Linked DNA regions of Drosophila melanogaster. The protein of the gene in region 2 interacts with the protein of the main gene of each other region in a pairwise test. Each region holds a gene or a part of one and is shown on either strand. Other genes may lie near its edges.

Region 1 (3,327 bases), on a different chromosome or scaffold from region 2:
TGTCCTGCCTATCAGGCAGGCCCTTTGGGTCGTCACCAGCCAGTTCTTGGGTTATTAAGATATTCATAATAAGAGCCTCCGCGGGGCCAACGACCAAGTGCTAGCATGGATTAGAGCGCCAACAACCAGTTTACCAGTTGGCCACGGAAGCCGTTGCGCGCCTTAGTCGGCGGTCAATGAAACCAATTAACTGTACTCGAAGTGGACTTGGCTTAGCTTGGCCAAGTAGGTCTGCTCGACCATCCGCGGCGTACTAGCCAGCCAGTCCCCTTGTTTCCCTTGGGCAGAAGAGTAGACCGCAAGGGTCTGGTATCGCTGGCAGATGGAATATCAATTACCTGCTGCTGTCGCCCGCTTCCTGGTGGCGAGACAGAACCAGAAACAGAGCAGAAAAACTAACTGAGATCTCGGAGAGGCCAACTAATTGCAGTATAAGAGCTTCCTAAAACCGCAGAAACTCGTTCTTCGGAGACCACAAACGAAAACAGATGACAGGAAAACAGAAACATACACGGTGTAAATAGGCTGTGCCTTGGCAGCAAATGCAATACATTTCGATTAGATGTGGTTTCACAAAATGTACATATATTTACTTAGATGGTTAACCATGGTTTTGTCGATAGAAAGACCAGCCTGGACCGTCGACGGATGATCATAGTCTACTTCAACTTCTTCTTGGGGCGCAGGTTGTTGGTGTGTCCGCACTTCTTCTTGCGGCAGTTGGTGGCACGAGGATGCAGACGGGCGTAGCACTTGCGGCAGATCATCTTGTCGCAGTTGTACTTCTGGGCCAGAATCCTGAGCGAGGGCTCAATGATACCACCACGCAGGCGGAGCACCAAGTGCAGGGTGGACTCCTTCTGAATGTTGTAGTCGGACAGAGTGCGGCCATCCTCCAGCTGCTTGCCGGCGAAGATCAGACGCTGCTGATCTGGGGGAATGCCCTCCTTATCCTGGATCTTAGCCTTGACATTCTCGATGGTGTCAGAAGGCTCCACCTCCAAGGTGATGGTCTTGCCGGTGAGGGTTTTCACGAAGATCTGCATAATGGCGGCGTCACTGAAAGCAATATAAAACATAAATCAGTACCAAATCGTACGATTTCTTAGCGAACTTGTGCGTCCCAAAGAGCGGGCAAAGATTGGAGGTTAGGTCCGACTTGCTGGCATGTTTCGTTCGACAGAAACAGCTCCACCGGTCGACAAGCACCAGTGTCCATCTTTTTCATATCACAAATACGTCACTAAACAACAATATGTTTACATTCTGCCACGTTATTGCGATTTTTCGTTTATTTTTAATATATTTAATGGAAACTCACCAGAGGAAACGTGCAACCAAATGCTATTCAAAAGAAAAAGGGAAAAGAGAGTGTGGCCGCCGCCGAGCACTGCAAATATACCAAAATACTATTTTTTAAATACCAAAACATTCTAAATGGAACTGTAAAAAATATTCAGACACTCAAATTAATTAATGCAAAATATCTTTACCATTTGAACCGAGACCAACTTTACAATATCAACATATAGTTTTTCGTGTTTTTTTATAGCCCAACGCTACCTCACTGATAGCTAAGCTAATTCAAAATTATATTATTATGGCATGAAAATGCTATTTGCATTGTATACAAATAAATTGAAATCAAAACTTGTATATAGAATTATATTTTAGATAAGGTTCAAATATTACATATTACGCATATTTTTTTTTATTGAAAAACCGCCTAATCGATTTAAATTATATTTTTAATGAATTTATGAAATATTTTTTCAGATATTAAACCTTTTGAATTTATACAAAAATATTCAAGTTGCTGTCCATTTTACTAAGAACAATAATTGAATACTAGGTTGTATAAGTATAAGTAAGTAAGTAAGTATAAGTAAGTAAGGGATATACATTTAAGCCAACGATATTCTAAAAATGTGTATTGCTAAATATGTCACATATAATAAATAAATTTGTATTTGACTTAGTGAAAAAAGTATGTCTTTATAGTGAGAACACCGTGCTTTTCCATTCTGCGTCAAATCGATAGATTCTGAAAAATACCCCTTTCGATATCGAAGTTCTAATGGCTCGATAGGTCCTCAACACTTACCTATCGATGACAGTAGCACAAGTTGTGCGGAAAACGGGAAACTAAGGGAAAAGCGTGGAAAACCCTTGAGAACAGAGCATGTCGAAAGCAGGCGAAGATCAGCCCGCAGCAGAGGGTGCGGTAAGTATCTGAGAAACTTAAACCTTTCTCAACCCCAATCACCTGACAATAGCGACCTGGTTCTCATCGTTTTTTCTAGGTGATTGCGGGCAATGGTAACGCTGAGCTGGCCCAAAATGAAGGCCAGAATGAGCAACAACAACCCCCGCCGAATCAGCCCACCCGCATGGAGTCCTTCTTTGCGATGACCAAGTCCCTCATCCTGCGTGCCCTGATCATCTACTTTGTGAGCTCCTTTTTCCGACGACCTGCGCCCGATGCCGCCAGTCAAGGCAAAAGTGTCGCTAATGCGGGTCCCAAGATCACGGCCTGGAATTACTTCGAGAACGGCACGGACTTTGACCTGCACGTGTGGTTGTCGGAGAATCCCGATGTGGTTAACTTCCAGCAAAAGGCGAATCTCCTCTGGCTACAGAAGGACCTCACCTATGGCGATTGGACGTCGGGCGTCAACGGAGATGGCATTTACACGCACAGTTTGAAGCTTAAGACCAGCCAGCATCTGATGAACAATGGCAGTGTGTACCTACATGCCTTTGTCACGCGTACCGGCATGAGTCCCGATCCCAAAGCCCCGAATTACGCCACCAAAATGGGCCACCAGCAACATCAGCTGAACAAGTTCAAGAAGTTGCGTGTGAACCGCAACTACAACTTGCTGGCCAGCGAGAAGGAGAAGTTGGAGCACGAGCTCAAGCATGCGAATCTCAAGGATACCATCGTGTCTCACTGGCATCCTAATCTCACGGTCAATCTCGTAGTGGACCAAACTAACTGGGCCGAGGGATCTGTGCCGCCGCCACTGGATGACTACGTAAAGTTCGTAGACGGCGGTAAGACCTATCTGCCCATCCTGTTCGTCAACGACTACTGGAATCTTCAGCGGGAGTATCAACCCATTAATGAGACCACTCCCGAACTGGAGCTGCACCTCACTTTCCAGCCGCTGGGCATGTTCAAGTGGCAGCTGTATGCCGCCAAACAGATGAAGAACAAGTGGGCTGGCAATATGCTCGGTGAGCTGATGGCCGCCAGCCAGCCGGAGGAGAGTGACGAGGATCAGGACTCGCTGAAGGAGACTCTGCTGGACACCAATATCTACC
Region 2 (7,344 bases):
TGCACAAAGTTCTCCGCATTCTCTTCGCTTTCCTGGTCATTGATCGACATCGATTTGCTAATTGTGGGAGGGGGACGGTTCTCCTCATTCGAGTCGTTCGCATTTGAGTCATGATTTTGCTCGTGCAAAGGCGGACAAATGGATTCCTCGTGAGGGATGTTCTCAGCATGCTCTACCGGCGAATCTGGCACATAGACATGCCGACGTTGCACATGATCACTGGAGTACGATGGCATCTGGGAGTTGTTGAAACCAAACATGAAAGTATTGGGCAATGGTGAATCGTCGGAAACGCGCCAGGGGGATTTGCCTCCCGCGGTCCTAACTGCATTTGGAGACTGGTGGGCAATAGGCGACAATGCAGTGGTGGTGGCACTAACATCTGTCACCGGAGGAGCTCTGCGATTCAGCGGCGTGCTAACCAATTGTCGCGCCATGTTGATAAGTTCTCGACGTCTGTCTGTAGATGGCAGTGGATTTTGCGCCTGGGTCTGGTTAAGCATTACGGATCGGGCCAAATTACTGTAGGCTCCTTCGTGCGCTTGCTTAGAAGTGCTCGGCTCCACATGTACCTGGACGGGCACTTCGATGGGCTGCACGTATCCGTGCTCCGAATCGTTGCTATAATCTTCCTCGGGCTCGAAAATGGTCGATAAGGAGCGTGATGGCTTTTGAAGGCGCGGTTCTATGGACTTGGGAACGACCTTGACTGGCTCAGGCTCATTGTCTTTTGTCGAAACCTTTCTTCGATTACCCACAGGTCGGACCTTCTTTGCTGTTCTTTTGGCTCTCGGTTTGCCGATTTTTCTTGACCGCACCATTACGCAGGCCTTTCCATCCTTAACCAAACGCTGAATTATGTCTGCCGCCGGATCCTCCCTGTCACTGTCATCTTCGATCTGCGACTGCGACAGAAAATCGAAAACGTTGCGGGTCACCGATGATCGTGTCCTGGTTAAAGGCTGATCTCTGTGGAAGAAACGAGGTGGTTTTTTGGGCGAAATCTCAGCTGCCGGTCCACTAGGGCTTTTACTCCTTATGCGTTGCTGACATGGCGATGTTTCGGGACCTGCAAGTAGTTGTGCTTATCAAGAAAAGTCCATCATCCGCCTGGTGAGAGCCTCTTACCTGCCACATTTTCCTTGATATTTTGGGGTTGCGTTGATTTCTGTACCTTCGAAGGAATGTACATCGTCGAGTTGCGAGCCGGCTCAAAAGTGCTGGCATCCACATCAGGCGCATCATTTCGAGAAATTTCGGATACGACACCGTTTTTTACCTTAATGCGCCTTATTTTTACCACGCATTTTCTTATGCGACACTCTGGCTCGTTTAGGGCTGTCAAAGATTGTTTGTTTGATAGTTTCGTGGGACGCCCGGGTTTTCGTATTATCGTGGTCAAATCAGCTCCGAGTTTCTTGGGACGCCCGGGTTTACGTATTGTGGTCAAATCAGCTCCGATGGACAGCTTCTTGGGACGCCCGGGTTTGCTTATCGTTGTGCTTAAGTCAGCTCCGATGGACTGTTTCTTGGGACGCCCGGGATTGCGTCTCGTTGCGGTGTTCACATCTGGCGACGGAACACACGGCACCGGCCGTGTTCTTACCATTTTAAGAATATAATTTGTTTACCAAATGAAATTCATGTACAGCTCCCGCCATTTTATTTACTAGTATGACCATCCCCCGATCTCTAAGACTTGCCATGAAAACCACTGAACACCAGTAGGTGTGAAGCTTGACTAACCAGCTAACCGAGACACTTTTCAACACTGAGCGCCAGGGACGGAGCACCGATAGTTGTCGATAGGCGGACAGAGAACCAGATGATTGGCCTCGCAATAATGTAAAAAATAAATAATTAGCTGTTTCCAAATAATCCAAATTCCAAATTCCTTGCACTACGATCCACCGTGCGTGTGTTCGTCGCCGTGAATGTGTGCGGGCAGTTTCGTTTCACGCGCCCCAAGCAAGTACAGCTGAAAATTGAGAAGGAAAGCAAGAAAGAAAACCCCCCAAACTGAAAATCGAGTGAAAGTTTTCTCATCGTCTTTGTTTTGTAATTGTGATTTTCCTGCCTGCTGCCAGCGCTCATTACTGGCAATATTGGATCGACGTCGACATAGTGTCGCTGCTGCGGGCGCGGGTGGCCGACGGCGACTATAGCAACTACACCTTATAGCTACTATAATACTAATGCTATACTCGCGGTCCCTATTGTGATTGTGTTATATATTTAAATCGACTCGATTCGAATCGAATCCAATCGCTGTCGTGGTCGCAGTCGCATTCGCGTTTTCTGGGACTGCTGCAAAAGGCCTTGCGATTTTCTGCGCCAGGTACTGTGTAAAGACGTCGATGTGGGAAGGGGGGTGGAGGCGGTTGTGGGATGGTTGGGATGGCACGGGGCGAATCCCAATAAGAAACTAGCGCGAAAACTGGCATACCAGCGTACATACATACGTACGTACATCGCACGCGACACATGCCATACATACATAGGCGAATTATAATGGCAACAAATAAATGCAACCGACCCAGCAGTTGAACCACTACCACCTATACCACCACTACTACCAAAACCAGACCCTATCCAATTCATTCCAATCCAATCCCAGGCAACGAGAACCCGAAGGCTGACTGTGACGCCAGTGGGGGAAATGGAAATGGAGCCAAGGCAGATGTACATATCTGTGGATGTATCTGCGAATTATGTCTCAGGGTCAAGGACACTGCTTCTGCCTCGCTAACCGTTGTTTGACCTTATTAACGAGTCGGAAGTGGTGGATTCGCCGCTCACCGACTTTAGGGATACCCTTTCGGTTCGCTTATCCAAAGAATAGTAGCTTAGTAGATACATTCATTGGTAGATAGTTGTCCCCCAAAACGAGTCATGCATATAGTCTTTATACTTTGCAAAATAAGTCAAGGTAAATTGAAATGTCCTCCAAATTGTAGATTTCCCTGCGTACTTATAAATCCAATATTAGTTTTTAGATAATCTTTTTCTTTTGAATGCAACATCTCATTAACTTCCGACAAAAGTCAACATAGCTATACATTATTGATCAAACTCTTCGTATCTTCAACCAACTTCGACTAAAATGATTGTCTAAGCTTACAATTGTTCAGAAATTAAACTATTTTGAAGTAAAAAAGGCAGCCAGGTGGATTTGACTAGTAAAAGCATATTTTATGGGATCCCCTTACTTGGTGACACTCGTGTATCCCATATCAAATATTCAACGTATGATCCCTTTCTCCTTGGCAGATCAACTGCATTGGCCGGCTCCGCGCATAAACAATGTGCGATACCAAAGACGATGCGCAGAAATGGAAATGTGAAACTTGCACCTACGAGAACTACCCATCCTCGCTGAAATGCACCATGTGCCAGGCGTCCAAGCCGCTGCTCAACGAGGACATCTTCCGGTATGACAACTCTGACGATCTATACCTAATCTTCTGCTAATTAATACTTGCTAATTCTTGCAGTCTGAGTCCAGCCCAGGAGAGCTGCACCGTTGCGGAGGAGGCGGCTGCCGTCGAAGTAGCCGTAATGTCGCCCACACCTTCGTCCACGTGCTACTCGCTCCAGCCGCAGAGCCAGGCACGGCAGAGCAACGTGGCGGACAGCGAAAAGTGGCCCTGCAAGGTGTGCACCTATCTCAATTGGCCGCGGAGCCTGCGCTGCGTTCAGTGCTGCACGAAGCGCGGTGGCGAGGCGATAGAGCGTGGCAAAAAGGACATGGATAACGAGGCGGACGGGGATCGTGCAGGAGAGGCGCTGCAAGCCCTTCGCATCAGCGGCTCGGAGGAGAACCTGGCCAATAAGCCGGTTCAGCTCATCGGCGCCACGGCCTCCCATCGTTTGAGCCTTAGTCGTGGCATAGACGATGCGACCCATCTGAACAATCTCGCCAATGCGTCTCACAACCAGTCGCAGTCCCAGCACCGGCAGCCTGTCCTACAGCAGCAGATGCAGCTCCAGCTGCAGCCGCAGCAACAGCGGGAATCCTCATCCTCCGCCGCCGTCCCGCCGCAGCAGCAGAAGCAGTGCTATGTCTCCAAATGGGCGTGTAACGTAGGTTTTCATATCCCAACCAATTCGCTCAGATGTACTTAAAGTTAGAATTTTCCTTAGTCTTGCACTTACGAAAACTGGCCGAGGAGCATCAAGTGCTCCATGTGCGGCAAGACGAGGGAGCGGGAGATTAGTGGGTCGCAGAACGACTTGCACGCCTCATCCAGCCTAAACAGTCAGGAGGAGAATCAGCAACAACTGCAGCAGCCAAACGTGGATACCGTCAGCGTCAATAACTCGTTCAATAAGAAGCACATTTACCAACTGGGTAAGAGTTTTTAATGTGATTTCTCTGGGTATGACTAATTGATATTCACTTTCCAGGTTCTTCGGAAACCATCAACAACTGTGATACGCTGCAAGAGCGTCAGGAGCGCCGCCAGCGTCAAATCCGACGACAGGTGGACTGGCAGTGGCTGAATGCGTGCCTGGGCGTCGTGGAGAACAACTACAGCGCTGTGGAGGCGTACCTCTCCTGCGGTGGCAATCCAGCCCGTTCGTTGACCAGCACCGAGATTGCCGCCCTCAACCGCAACTCGGCCTTCGACGTGGGCCACACCCTGATCCACCTGGCCATTCGTTTTCATCGCGAGGAGATGTTACCGATGCTGCTGGACCAGATCTCCGGTTCGGGGCCGGGCATCAAGCGTGTGCCGTCCTACGTGGCTCCCGACTTGGCGGCCGATATCCGGCGCCACTTTGCCAATACCCTGCGCTTGCGCAAGTCCGGTCTACCCTGCCACTATGTGCAAAAGCACGCCACCTTCGCCCTCCCCGCCGAGATTGAGGAGCTGCCGATACCCATACAGGAGCAGCTCTACGATGAGCTGCTCGACCGCGACGCGCAGAAACAGCTGGAGACGCCGCCGCCGGCCTTGAATTGGTCGCTGGAGATCACTGCTCGCCTGAGCTCACGGATGTTTGTACTGTGGAACCGCAGTGCTGGCGACTGCCTGCTGGACTCGGCCATGCAGGCCACCTGGGGCGTCTTCGATCGTGACAATATCCTTAGGCGGGCACTCGCCGACACACTGCACCAGTGCGGGCATGTGTAAGTTAAACGAATTTGTTTTAACAACCGTCAGCTTATTAATAGTCTTGATACTCTTATTGTAGGTTCTTTACTCGCTGGAAAGAGTACGAGATGCTGCAGGCTTCGATGCTCCACTTTACGCTGGAGGACTCTCAGTTCGAGGAGGACTGGAGTACACTACTGTCATTGGCCGGCCAACCCGGCTCGTCCCTGGAGCAACTGCACATCTTTGCGCTGGCGCATATCCTTCGTCGGCCGATTATCGTTTACGGCGTGAAGTACGTCAAGAGTTTTCGGGGCGAGGACATTGGATACGCGCGTTTCGAAGGTAGCTATTAATTTTTACGTCGCTGTATTGCATTTATTTGATTGCCTTATTTCTAGGTGTCTACTTGCCTTTGTTCTGGGATCAAAACTTTTGCACCAAGTCACCGATAGCACTGGGCTACACACGTGGCCATTTCAGCGCCCTGGTGCCGATGGAGCCATTCACTCGCATCGATGGGCGGCGTGACGATGTGGAGGACGTAACCTATCTCCCGCTAATGGACTGCGAGCTGAAACTTTTGCCCATACATTTCCTTACACAGTCGGAGGTGAGAGCTTATTCAAATATCCTGTAGAACATTGTGAGCTTAGACATTTCCGTTCCTTGCCTGCAGGTTGGCAACGAGGAGTCAATGATGCGTCAATGGCTGGACGTGTGCGTAACTGATGGAGGCCTACTGGTGGCGCAACAAAAGCTAAGCAAGCGTCCCTTGCTGGTCGCCCAGATGCTGGAAGAGTGGCTAAATCACTACCGCCGCATTGCGTAAATATGACTTGCTCTCCTTCCGGACATAGACATGCTAATTAAACCTGTAAACTTTCTTTCAGACAAGTGATAACGGCGCCTTTCATTCGTCGCCCTCAAATCACACATTACTCCAGTGATGGCGACTCGGATGAGGAGTAGAGGATATGATGCGGCACATCCGTCACCCAGCTTCTGATTAGGATGCTGTGCATAGAATTCAATATCCTTATTTTGTACTTTTGGCGATCGTTAGCAGATTTTTGAGACAGGAATAACAAGTGCAGATCCTACACTCTTGCACTCGCAGCTAGCTAAAGGAAACTATAGAGAATACATATGCATATATGCAAGCAGTTGAAAGTTGTAGTTGTAACTAAATTGAAAGCAAACTAAAGGTTAAGTAGCAACGTACGAAAATAGATTGATCGACGTATGTATATCATATCCGTTCCCAAGTCAACGTTCGTTGATTTTAGTCAAATTTATTCACACTGGGTCGTCGAGGCAATATAGACCACATTTACTACGAAATTGAAGCTATACACTGGTAGATTTAATTACACTCACATGTGAAACAATCCATTAAATGATTACGTGTACGAAAGGCAGATGCGAATTTAAGCGGTGGAATTTGTACACCTATGTACGCGGTAGTTAATGTGAATACCCAAGCTCCGGACTTAAAATATTGCAAATCTCAATGTACTATTAAATTTTAAATGGGTGGCGAACACACAACATAATTATGCAGCGGGTGAAAATGAAAGCGTCATTGAAATGTTTATTGATAGTTTTTAAAACACTTTTTGGAATTATTATGAATCATTATACATTCATGCCTATAAATATAATATCTATAATTATATAACATATATAGAAATCCTATGGTTCTAGACAGTTGAACAAAGGGCCAATAACATAATGAATTTTATTCTTATTGTATTATAAATGGAATTTTATCTCATTATTATTTTTGTTAGTAATGTTATTACAATTATTATTATTAACTTCTAAGAAAGCTTATTGTGCAAATGTACACGCAAAACGCATAAAAAAAATCACTTATTTAAATAAAAGTTTTAAGTAAAGATTTAAACGGAAACAAAATGACTATAGTTGAATTTATTTTAATAAAGTATGGACTTTCCTACTTTATTGCCCAAACTAACTTTACTAGTAGATAGATAAAAAAAAGTAGTTCATTATTATTTCTGTCTCTATAAAGTACAAAGTAAATTATAAGCAGCATCATTTATGGAATTACTTGTTATTTTTATAGATTATCAAATTTATAGGGAACGGTACAGTGGCACGAACGGTGTCATCACTAATACATGCTCTTCCACAGCCGAGCTCCCCACCTTTCCAATTGTAGCCAAGTTTAACACCCAACCGCTATTTCCATACGAAACTTATCTTTGGGGTTAATTTT
Region 3 (3,832 bases), on a different chromosome or scaffold from region 2:
CGATTGTGGCAGTGTGACAAGTTGAAAGTTTGGGGGTATTAATTAACGTAAGCTTAGCCACTCTAATCCACTTGGTGATTAAAGTAAAAGGTTAATGGGCCTTAAGTGTGGGAAAGTTGAAAGGGTTAATTAGCTCTCGAATTTTGTAGTTGGTTTTGTTCCCAGTGCTAGTCAACGTTTCAGTTTAGTGTTGGAATGTAGTGCTGGGATAAGTAAAGGTACATTCTATTACGAGTAATAGAAGTTATCTAAACTATTCCATAAATATGGGAACCCCTACTTTATCACGTCAAAAGCAGCAGTTACACGCGTCAACTTTAATTGCCATTACTAGTCGGAATTAATTACTTGACTTATAAAAAGCACGTTGCTCATTTGCTACATTTTGTCCATAACACTTACTACATCGATTGGTTTGCTGACTGTTGAAATATGTCGGTTTTTTGTAGATTCCCGAGTGGAATTTTCTTACTACAACCCCCAACTATGATTCACTGATTCGTTAATAGAATTCGTTCAACGTCAATTATATTAAATTTTACTATAATATCCCAGAACTCTGCCAGGAGCTCAGCAAGTATTCATTTTCAAATATTAACTCTGGATAAAAAGGCAATTCACAACGCTATAGTAAAATGAGCTCCATTTATGAGCTGCTGGCCCTTAAGAAGTTGCGCCAGGATTCGCCATTAGATTTGCGATGAGATCCCATGTAGGCACTGGGTCCGGCGATGGCGGGCGGCATATCCATCTGGCCGGAGTAATTGAATACGGGAGTAGAGGGACGGCTAGCGGGAGCACGGCTCTTGACGACCATTCGGAAACGGGGCGGTTCCACGGATCGACGCTCCTCCTTCCTCTTGGGCTTCTTCTCTTCCTCCTTCTTGGGCACCAGCCCTGGCATCTGAAGTGGTTGCCCGTTGTCCTGGATCGCGTCGAAGTCCTGTTGCCATAGAGCCACCTGTTTCATGGCAAACTTGTGGTACTGCTTATCGATGCCAGATGGTCGCCGCTTTGGTATCATCACTATAGTCTTGGCTTTCAGTGCATACACAGGTGGGGATATCTGATGGTAGCCGCGTCGTTGGTAATCCCTTGGATATGCAGGCGGAATGCCAACCACCTTCTTGCGCTTCAAATGTGGCTTCACCTCCTCTGTGGTCTCCGACTCCCGGGAGCATGGGCATGTGTGCCACGAATGCCAGTGCTCCGCCTCGCTCTCCTCCTGGCGCTTCCTCAACCAATCGGCAGTGGGACGATTGGAATCGTAAACCACTGTCTGGCTGTCTTGAGCTTCCTCTGAGCTCTCTGTATTGCGTCTTTGGCGCTGGTAGTCCTCCGATTCCCTTTGCATATCCTCCTCAATATACGTTTCCTTTCGCTTAACCGGACGATAGGTAATGCCGGAGGTATTAGTTTCCCTCCTAGATTCCGGACGATTTTGCCATCGACGGCGATTCTGTTCGATAATCGCCTCCTGACGCCTTTGGTGATCGGCCGGATCCTGTGAGATGGTACGCCGGCGCAATAAGTCCGGTTCTGCCTGACCTTTAGCGAAGTGACTATTGATTCTTCGTTGGGCCTGCTTGCGACGCTCTTCACGTTCCAATTCATATTTTTGTTGCTCGTGACGGATTTTGTTCTTGGCTATATAGAGGCGATCGTTGCAGTGGGACTCGTAGCCCAACTCATCCAAACGCTCGGGAAAATCGGGAGACCATTCGCTGTCACGCCAAGGAGACTCCCGGGGCACCGCGGACATCTCTTTCATCTTCTTGATGCCCTGGATTTGTGCTTGAGTCTGGTCGTCGAAGGTATATCGGTCTGCGTAGCGACGATTTTGGCTGGTAACTGCTGGTAATCGTCGCAAACTGGAAAATTGCCCCTTGGCTTTGTTACTAACAAACCGCCAAGAATGATTCAGGCTCGTTCGAGCCATTTTAAAAGTGGTATTCATCTTGCTATTGACTCGTCTTGGATTGAACTCCCTTTTCAGAACTAAAAATTTTGATGCGTGCACGAGAGGGTGTTGTCTGAAAATAAAACTCCGAACTGAATTTTTGAATTTTCAATTTTGTTAGCTACAAATTTTTAACTCCAAAAATTAAAGACCGAAATTTTGTGAACTGAACGCTTCGCAAACTGGGAATATTATGAGAACGCTGATGATTTTTTCCCAGGAAGTAAAAGGCAATGCTATCCCAGTTGAACTCAAAAAATAGAGGTGGTACTCATGACCTACTTGGCGTTTAACATTACGTTAATCCAATACTAGAAACAATCTTTGAAAATGCACAAAATATGTATTCATTAAAAGGTTTCCTGACCACATAAGCGGTTAACCTTTGAAGTAACTATCCATTAGGTTTCACACCCAAATGGGAAAGTGTGGAAAGCTTAAATATGCAGCATTTATCTTCGTTGGAGGTTGTCTGCCTTCCGCATCGCGCACTCCACTTCCATCGAATTTTGATAGCAGATTTATGATGCACTTCCGCCGCTGGCTAAACTTGACACACTGAGAAGTTTGTCTGGTTTTTTTTTTCGATTCGCTCTTCGATCGCCGGCTTTGGTTTCATAATCGCAGCGATCCAGTTGGACTAATGAACTTGAACTAACCGATGTCACGGCGCGTTTCCTTTTCTTATTTCTTTGCCACAGCTTGCCGCACCGTCTTCGAATCTCAGCAGCAAATTGGCGCCGCCGACGAATCTTGAGCCCTACACCATGGCTGTCATCACGGAACATGGCGGCACCACCTCCTCTCCCCCGGAAAACAACAATAGCATCGGAAACGGAAAACACCGGGTCAATGGCCATCAGTTGAGCACCTCGCTGACCATACCGGAGTTCTTTGCCCACAAGAACATCTTTGTCACCGGCGGCACTGGATTCCTGGGCACCGTTCTTATCGAGGCTCTGCTGGACACACATCCCGACATTGGAACCATCTACGTTTTGGTCCGGGGCAAGCGCAAGTTTGATCCGAACGAGCGGATTCGTCGCCTGCTCCAAAAGCCGGTAAGTCTGGTGGCATTTGTTTTAGATTGTTTTGACCGGTCGAAGGGGGGCGGCAACCGGCCACGCCCTCTGACACGACGCGCCGTCTGCAAGGTATATAATTAAAGCCAATTACGAGTCTCTTTATGGAGCGTTAATTTGTCAAAGTCGTAACCTGGCCGACCTCTTCCGCCGCGTTCCATGGGGCTTTCATTTTCTTTTCTTTTCATTTTTTTTTTTAACCACAAGTGTGCAATACTCTTTTGGGATTTTTGAAAATATTTAAATTGTTATTTACTATAATTACAAATTTTGAAATAACCTAATTATTATCTTATTTAATTGTTAAGCTCAAGCAATCTTTTCATAAAGCATTTTTTACAATCAAAATAAGTTTGTACAAATAATGCCTTGAAATCATATAAATTATATTTAGAGAGTGCTTAAATTTTCGGTCCAACAAAAAGTCTTTTGTTTTTTCCCCAACTTTTGTTAGGCCCTCTTCACAACTCGTTAATTTATTTTATTTTTAAACGCATTTTTAATGGCACAACAAAAAGAAGCTAACATCATATGTTGTTTGCTTTGAAAATTGCTTACTTACGAGTGTTGCCCAAAAAGGTAAAAGTACCGAAAAAAGCACTCATCGCTAACAATCATAATTTGTTGGCCATAATGTGGGCGTGTATGGTTAGCAAGCCAACCTCCGAACAGTAGTGAAATTAATTTTCAACATCCGTCTTTAGAGGAGAAAAAATAGGTCTCCAACTGGTTTAAAAATATCGAATACATATGTACAATATATAAAACTCTTATTCGCCGCTTCTGCAAG
Region 4 (7,899 bases), on a different chromosome or scaffold from region 2:
GCTCGTTCTCCTTCTGCTTGACCCGCTGAACGAACATTTGGCGCACTTCCTCCTCCTTGGCCTGTAGGCAAGCCAGATGGTCGGATCGCTTCGACTCGAAGGTCTGTTGGAAGGAGACCGGCTGGTTGTTGCTGTCCACGTCCACAAAGCCCATTTGTTGTAGGCGCCGCTGGCGGAAGAGCTCATAGTGGCGTGTGTGAGTCTGTTCGCGCAGATCCTCCATGTTAGTGCGAATGAGCATCTCGCGCAGCTTCACAAAGTCGCAGTGCGCCTCGTTTTCTATGTGCACCGCTCCCCATGGATATTGGCGGGCACGAACCTGCTTTCCGGCCACCTTTACAAACTCCGTACTGCCAACAACGGCAAAGGGTAGATGGCCGTTCATCGCAGCATTTGTTTCGGACACGGTTTCGTCGTCCATGGGAAACTGGTATATGCTCACATTGTTCCGCCGTAGTTCGTCCATTATGCGTTCCTTAAACCCCGACAGCTCCGACTTGGAGATGGTGTCGGCCTTCGCGATCACGGGAATGATGTTCACCCTAGTGTCAAGCTGCTTCATGCACACCAAATCCATAGCTTTCAGACCATGGCCCGTGGGACAGATGAAGTACAGGCAGGCGTGAACGCGTCCATCATGAGCACTGGCCATCGCTCGCTGGATCTTGAGCTCTTCCTGCAAATACGCTTCAAACTGGCTGTCCACGTACTCCACCAAAGCCTTGTAGCTGTCCGCTTTATTAACCTGATCTCCGTATCCGATCGTGTCACAGACGGTCAGCTTCAGGCGGACGTTGCTCTCCTGCAGCTCGTATGTATTTGCCTTCAGCTTCACATTGGGCAGGTTGTGCGGGCTCGGTGTAGATCCAAAACTGGTATTGAACAGTGTGTCCATGAGAGTGGATTTCCCGAGAGCGGTCTCGCCGATGCATAGGATATTGAAGCTAAAGCCATTCTGGACGCTCTTGTTGACCAGCTGGTCCGGTAGGGTGTCGAACCCCACGTGGCCGCCGAGTTGAAGGAGCCTGGGGACTTTGGTTGCCACCTCCTGCGTCTTCTTTTCAGTCACTAAATGAACCATTTCGCCAGTGCTTTCGTTAGAATAATGTCACGACCCAGCGCAGGCGCCACTCTTTATACCCGGAATTCTCGTATGTGCAGCCTGTGTAAACCCTAGTCGTTTTTCTTAATAAGCCATTTGGATTTTCCTGCATCTGGTGGCGTACCGAGAATTAAACTGTATCTAAGAGTTTTCTACCTGTGATTCCTTTTACCTGCAGCCTTGACGATTTTAAATGCGGTGCCCGCCTCAGTTGTCTATCGAGACAGTTCTGCGCGACTATATCGATTAAAGCAGCTTCAACTAACATTTATCAATTGCAGTTAAACAACGATGGATTATTCGATCAAAATGAATTTTATTTATCAGAAAGATAGTCTTGCGACAGTACATTTTATATATGATTTCTGGACTATGACGCCACGGCTGGCTCGAATGAAGTCCCATCTGGACGTATTATATTCGATGACTTTTTCCAACATTTGTGGTCATATATCGGCAATAACACGGCAAATGTTAAGTCGGTCGCGATTTTGAACAGTAATGCCAACTTAAAGTTCTCCACCTCATAAAAAAATCCTTTACAAAACGTATATCGCGTTGTCTTAATCTCGCGTGTTTTAAAGATTTATGATCTTAAAACTTAAAAACTTTTATTGTTATATCTAAGTTCGCCGAAATATATTACAGAAATAGAAACCTATTAAAAACTACATTGAAATTATATATGATTATAACTATGTCATTATATAAAAATGAATCAAACGTTTGGCTATAAAATGGACAAATATGGCTCGATACCATGAACGGGACCATCAATGGCGATAGCAAACACGTATCGTTATCGAATACCGCAGTTAACTTTCGACGCATACAGAATTTGCAAAGCCGGAGGAAATTGAAGAATTTGTGGAATATCCGCGACTTAATAGTAAACTAGCACTTAAAAATAAACATCCAAAAAAGCCGGAAGTGGTAAGAACTCTAAAAACGATCTGAATTGCTCTGATTTTAGAATTTTTCCGCCTAACGCGATTTTCTTTGTTTGCGGGGCGCCGCCATTTTCTTTTTACCTGACCGCCGCTTGTCTTCTTGCATTTCGCCCGTACTTTCACAAAGCAAATCTCGAATTCTTCGCAGAATCCCCGGAACTAAATTGCCAGAAAGTTCTCAGGCAGCACACACCGAGTTAAAGCGCCCCGGAATAGCCGCCCATGAGTAGTCATCGAGACGGAGCCGGAGCCGATCGTATCACAATCAAAATTCACAACATGAAGCGTAGCGCCTCGCGCTCCCCGGGCCCGGCCTCCAGGAGCAGTTTGTCGCGCAACTCGCGAAGCATGGGTCGTGGGTACGACAACGGCAGCGGCGTGCCTGGCGATTCGCCGGAGCGCCTGTCGCCGGAGCGCATGCGACGTCGATTGGACCGCTCGCCGAGTCGTTATGGCTCCCCGCACCGGGAGCCCTACATGCGTGGTCCACCGCCTGCAGAGCGACCAGCTGGCTACAAGGTACTTTGCGTCAGTGCCCTGCCGCCAAAGGCTCCGGACGATTTTATCGAGGAGACACTGTACCGCGAGTACAAGAAGTTTGGCGATTTTAGCGTGCGACTGGCGCACGACTTGGATGAACGGGTTGCTTACGTTTGCTTCCGAACGCCTGAAGATGCACGCGAGGCGAAGCACCATAAGCCGCGCCTGATCATCTACGACAAGATGGCCATTGTGGAGCCGGTGTACAAGTCCACAACCAGACCGGAATATAGGTGGGATTTATTTTTGTATTTATTTTGTTAGCCTTGGCTAATCTAAGATGCTTTGCAGACCACGCGGTCACTCAATGTCCCCACCGGACTATGAACGTTACCACTACTCGAGGTCCCCTATGGGACAAGGCGTTCCTTTGGATCACCGTCGACCTCCGATTGATCCCTACGATCGGTACGGTCCTCCCCATATGCATCCGCACGCAGTCCATCCACGTGATTACCGCCCATTGCATCATGACTATCCTCATCCGCCACGCGGACCACCTTTGCATCGCGGCGGCCATCCGCATCACCTCCATGGCCATGCGCCGCCCCATCAGTATGCTCCAATGAGGCCATTGGCACCACGCCCACACGCTCCCTATGAAAAGCCTGAGAGCAAGAAGGACAAGTTCCCCAATTACTTGCACCATGTGCAGCCCGAGGATGATCCTCTTTCTACGCGCACACTGTTTGCAGGAAATCTGGAGGTTACCATCGCCGACGACGAACTGCGTCGCATCTTTGGCAAATACGGAGTGGTAGATGACATCGACATCAAGCGACCGCCGCCGGGTACGGGGAACGCGTTCGCGTTTGTACGTTACCAAAACCTGGATATGGCTCACCGAGCGAAGATCGAATTGTCTGGACAGTACATTGGCAAGTTTCAGTGCAAGATCGGATACGGGAAAGTGACTCCGGCAACTCGTATGTGGATCGGAGGCTTAGGTGCCTGGACTTCTGTCACTCAGCTGGAGCGAGAGTTTGATCGCTTCGGTGCGATCAAGAAGATTGAATACCAGAAGGGCGAGCCGTACGCTTATATTCAGTACGAGACAGTGGAGGCAGCCACGGCGGCGGTAAAGGAGATGCGAGGATTCCCATTGGGTGGACCGGAGCGTCGACTCCGCACGGACTTTGCCGAGTTGCCCGGCGCCACACCGGCAGCGCCTTTCAAGAGCTCAAAGCCGCCATATGATGAAAGTGCGTTGGAGTACAGACGTCCGGAATACGATCCGTATTACGAAGAGTCCGCCGCCTACGCTCCGCGCGGTGGCTATTCTCCGTATCCACCTAGGGGTGGCTACCGTGGACGTGGGGGATATCGCGGAAGAGGAAGAGGCATGTACCATTATCACAACGACGTGCATAGGCCGCCGCATCCTGGCTCCTTAGCAGGTTCCTCTTCTTCAGTTCCCCCTCCCGGCGGAGTGGAGGATGAGTGGCGACGCCCGCCAGGAGAATCGTACGACAGAGGAGCCCGCTCCAGCTCTCGGGAACCTGGTGTAGAACGCTCTCGTTCTAGATCCCCATTGAAGCGGGCTCGCTCTCCCGGATCTGATTCTGACACCTCGACTCGTCGGAACGACGCCCTTGCATCAGCCAGTACGGTTCCAGATGTGGCGCGCAAGTGCAGCACAGTGTGGACCGGAGCGCTAATCCTCAAGAGCTCACTGTTCCCAGCCAAGTTTCATTTGACGGACGGAGATACGGATATTGTGGAGTCGCTGATGCGCGATGAGGAGGGCAAGCACAACCTACGTATCACCCAGCGACTGCGTCTGGATCCGCCCAAGCTGGACGACGTGCAAAAACGTATTGCATCCTCATCGTCGCACGCCATTTTCATGGGTCTGGCAGGGTCCACAAACGACACCAATTGCGACGATGCCAGCGTGCAGACGCGACCACTAAGAAACTTGGTTTCCTATCTTAAGCAGAAGGAGGCGGCTGGCGTGATCTCGCTGCTTAACAAGGAGACGGAGGCAACTGGGGTGCTGTACGCCTTCCCCCCCTGCGACTTTTCCACAGAGCTGCTAAAGCGCACTTGTCACAGTCTGACGGAGGAGGGCCTGAAGGAGGATCACCTGGTGATTGTGGTGGTGCGCGGCGGAACGGCCTGAGCTGGAGCGGCTGGCGACGGTGGGGATGGGAGGACAAACTGTAGGTAATAACTAGCCACAGTGCTCAAGGAAAATCTCCGCCACATCTAATTATAGCATAGCAGCCGTAGTCGTATCTTAGCTCGTCCTCTCCCAAGTGGAGGACACCCGGGGGCCACATACATGCAAGGGACGTGTATGCGGCTCCTCCAAGCACCGCACACACGCACATACACACACATGATGCACACATACAGAGACAGAAGCAGAACCGAGGAGACTTCACCCACACCTCATGACCCAAAAACCCCGCATTAATTAACCATTAATTAACCTTCTTTTGCAGACAGGATCTCTCTTTTGGTTTTAGTTCAAGTTCTCGATGTGTTAGTGACAGTGAAGTTTATACATCCTTTTCATTATTGTGCTAAAAAGTTTGAAAAATCGTTCATGATTGTATCTAAAGCTACCCATACAAATTATCCAATTTTATTATGTTAAAGTGTACAACAGTATGAAAACAACACGAGTAAAAACAAAAATCAAATATTTTCCATAAAAAAAACTCCATTCGAGTGTCCGCATATGATCAACAACTAGTGCGAAATAATGTCGATGAAAAGTTTTTGTGTTCCTTAAAATTGATTTTCCATTTTGATTTGTGTTACGCTGATGATTTTGCCTTTGCCCTTTCGTTTGTGTTCGATGGCGAGAAGGCAGTGCGACCAAAAGTGCGCCCAGTAGTGGTCTGATTGTCCAGTTGGGTCCAAAATAAGATTGCAAAGTGGCTCCAGAAGTTGTTTGCAGTGCAATTTCCCAATCAGTGCGAAGTGCTTAACTCCAGCTGAGTTTCAGTTCCCCTCGATCTCCAAGAGGTTCTTTGGTGTTTCTGGCCGCTGGGTGCGTGAAAGTGGCTGGCGATTCCATATCGTGTTCCGATCCCCGATCAATATCCGTCTTCCATCCGAAGAGAGAACGTCGTGTAGCATTTGCTCCAAAATGTCTATGCTGTTTGATTTGGTTTGGCAATTGTTACATTGGTTTTCTTGTGGCTGCGCTCAACAGAAGAATAAGAATAAGAATAGTGTTTTGTTTATAATTTATGCAAGCGTTCATGCTACATTTGTTTCAGTGAGTTCAAGTGTCATTCCACGGACCGAGATCAGTTTATACACAATGATAATCCAATCCGAGCAGTTCACCCAGTGCATGTGCTGTGTATGCGTGTGTTCGCAAATCTATTATTTATATATATATATATATATCAATCGTAATATGTACACTCAAAGGTAGTAATAACGATCAAACGCAGTTGTCTTGCATCATTAGACGGATGTTCGAAAGTAATTTATGCTTCAACAAAATATTATATCAAACTATTGTACTGATATCCAAATAAACGACAACTATCGCATCCTACGTGTTAAAAATGTGAGTTGTGAGTTACAGTGCAAGCAAGTGTTTAAGAAAGTGAACCATCTGCTGACCAAAGAAGGTAACGAAATTAAGCACCATTGCTAGCATCAACATCAATTTTATTACCAAGTGGAACGCGCCAGGGCCCTGGAATCGCGTTCTTAATCGTAGTACAGGTAAAAGGTGGTGCAGACTGCAAAGTACGAGGGTCTCTCCACGCTGTAGGTCACAAATCCGTCTTTTTCAGCATCCCACAGGAAGTTGACCATGGAGTAGAGGCCCTGCATCAGGAACTCGCCCACAGTGACCAGCACTATGTAGCGATATCTGGGGCGAAACGGTGGTTAGTTAGACAAAAACTGACCGCCGAACCAAAGTCACCTGTCGTAGTTGTCGAGTTTGATGCGGTTCTTGATTTCCTCGCTCACTTGCGCGGCCATGTGGAGGGAATGCTTGGGATGGAACATGTACTCATCGTTGTAGTGTCGGTTCATCACCGCCTTTATGATGTTCTCCACGCGTTCCTTGTTGAGCGGATTCTTGGACTCCAGGCGGTAGGTGGGCATGAACCGCATGGTGGGCTAGGCATTAAGCAGATCTCAGGGTATAAACACAGCTAGCTGGGCATTTAACGGACTTACCTTGGCTGCCGGAGCACCCATCGGCAAGGAAACGCCCATATGGGACTTGGTCAGCGATCCGCGCTGGCTGCTTGCCGGCCTCTGCATGTCGATGAAATGGGAAACCGAATATGCATGTTAGTTAGGCCACAGCTAGAAGCACAGAGATACCCAAACCCCCAATAGAATCCCCACAAGAAATGGCGTGACTTCGTCAAATTTTAGACGAACCGTATGGTTCCCGTGTTCACATCCCGTTACAAGCATCAATTCATTAAAAAGACATCAATACCCCATTGTAACCATAATGGCAAAATCAATCGTATACCTTCTCACGCTCCTGGCCCAGATAAAGATTCACCAGCCCCGACCAGTTCTTCGCTGCAGCGGCTGCCATTCCTTGCGAATTAATAGAATCGAGTCGGCTCGAGTGCGTAGAGGTTAGCCATAAAACCACAAATGATTATGCCATTAAGTCATTCCCTGCCAGATTACCTGACGGCCTGTCGCCGTGGCAATTCGTGGCGTTTGGCTTTGTTGAATCAATAAAACCAGCCAAATTATGCGCCACTTGTCAGCCCAACTTACCGGCTTAGTGCCCTCGGCCGACTTTTCTTTCTTCTCCTTTTTGCCCTTGCCAGTTTCCGCCTCCTTGGCGGCGGTCTCTGGCACGACATCCTTGCTGCGCCGCTCTTCCGGTGAGTCGCCCATGATCACAATGTTTAACTTGAAATGCTTTTTAGAACTGAACTGGAGCAGAAATATACTAGCCAAGAAGACGAAAGAAAACGACAGCCTGCTAAGATTGTTAAGAAATTGAAAGATCAGCTTACAACAACAATTAGTTTACACTTTATTTGGTTTGCTATATGTGTGGGAATATGCTTCACATTTCGGGTCGGTCTTGCGTTTAAAGTATACATATGAAACATATACACACAGTCAGTAGACAATAATACACATCCATGTTACGATATTTACGTTATTACTGGGTGGTGGTGCTCTTGTGGCCACAAAACATCAATTACATCTATATACACATATTTAAATATAAATATACTCGATACGCTCGGATTCGGTTAAATACACACCTAATAAATTATCTATAAAAAGTAAAACAATAACAGTGCGAATTCTTGGCCACATTTCCTTGTCTTTGTCCTGTTGCTT

The links.
Region 1: the proteins of trbd (region 2) and RpL40 interact in a two-hybrid assay, tested with the Drosophila melanogaster proteins (one large-scale study listed by BioGRID).
Region 3: the proteins of trbd (region 2) and CG5089 interact in a two-hybrid assay, tested with the Drosophila melanogaster proteins (one large-scale study listed by BioGRID).
Region 4: the proteins of trbd (region 2) and nito interact in a two-hybrid assay, tested with the Drosophila melanogaster proteins (one large-scale study listed by BioGRID).

The regions. Positions count from the first base shown.
Region 1 is NT_033779.5:4,225,744-4,229,070, reverse strand, and holds RpL40 (ribosomal protein L40), read right to left. Parts: upstream 1,373-3,327; 5' UTR 1,264-1,372; intron 1,060-1,263; 5' UTR 1,047-1,059; coding exon 660-1,046; 3' UTR 510-659; downstream 1-509. Other genes in the region: CG3702 (uncharacterized protein), read left to right, coding at 2,183-2,224, 2,304-3,327.
Region 2 is NT_033777.3:9,705,475-9,712,818, reverse strand, and holds trbd (trabid), read left to right. Parts: upstream 1-1,781; 5' UTR 1,782-2,338; intron 2,339-3,270; 5' UTR 3,271-3,303; coding exon 3,304-3,431; intron 3,432-3,494; coding exon 3,495-4,083; intron 4,084-4,143; coding exon 4,144-4,351; intron 4,352-4,407; coding exon 4,408-5,134; intron 5,135-5,199; coding exon 5,200-5,444; intron 5,445-5,500; coding exon 5,501-5,712; intron 5,713-5,778; coding exon 5,779-5,927; intron 5,928-5,992; coding exon 5,993-6,071; 3' UTR 6,072-6,823; downstream 6,824-7,344. Other genes in the region: dmt (dalmatian), read right to left, coding at 1-1,069, 1,129-1,609. UniProt on the Drosophila melanogaster protein: Positive regulator of the Wnt signaling pathway. Specifically cleaves 'Lys-63'-linked ubiquitin chains. May act by deubiquitinating APC protein, a negative regulator of Wnt-mediated transcription.
Region 3 is NT_033778.4:16,597,093-16,600,924, reverse strand, and holds CG5089 (uncharacterized protein), read right to left. Parts: upstream 2,178-3,832; 5' UTR 1,958-2,177; coding exon 647-1,957; 3' UTR 514-646; downstream 1-513. Other genes in the region: CG8303 (uncharacterized protein), read left to right, coding at 2,728-3,021.
Region 4 is NT_033778.4:7,960,569-7,968,467, forward strand, and holds the start of nito (spenito), read left to right. Parts: upstream 1-1,894; 5' UTR 1,895-2,035; intron 2,036-2,200; 5' UTR 2,201-2,274; coding exon 2,275-2,825; intron 2,826-2,883; coding exon 2,884-4,714; 3' UTR 4,715-4,758; exon of another isoform or gene 4,759-6,172; intron 6,173-6,209; exon of another isoform or gene 6,210-6,270; coding exon of another isoform or gene 6,271-6,436; intron 6,437-6,490; coding exon of another isoform or gene 6,491-6,690; intron 6,691-6,750; coding exon of another isoform or gene 6,751-6,831; intron 6,832-7,057; coding exon of another isoform or gene 7,058-7,126; exon of another isoform or gene 7,127-7,149; intron 7,150-7,317; coding exon of another isoform or gene 7,318-7,440; exon of another isoform or gene 7,441-7,456; intron 7,457-7,560; exon of another isoform or gene 7,561-7,899. Other genes in the region: Septin5 (septin 5), read right to left, coding at 1-1,081; CG14763 (uncharacterized protein), read right to left, coding at 6,271-6,436, 6,491-6,690, 6,751-6,831, 7,318-7,440. UniProt on the Drosophila melanogaster protein: RNA-binding protein that acts as an associated component of the WMM complex, a complex that mediates N6-methyladenosine (m6A) methylation of mRNAs. M6a modification plays a role in the efficiency of mRNA splicing and is required for sex determination.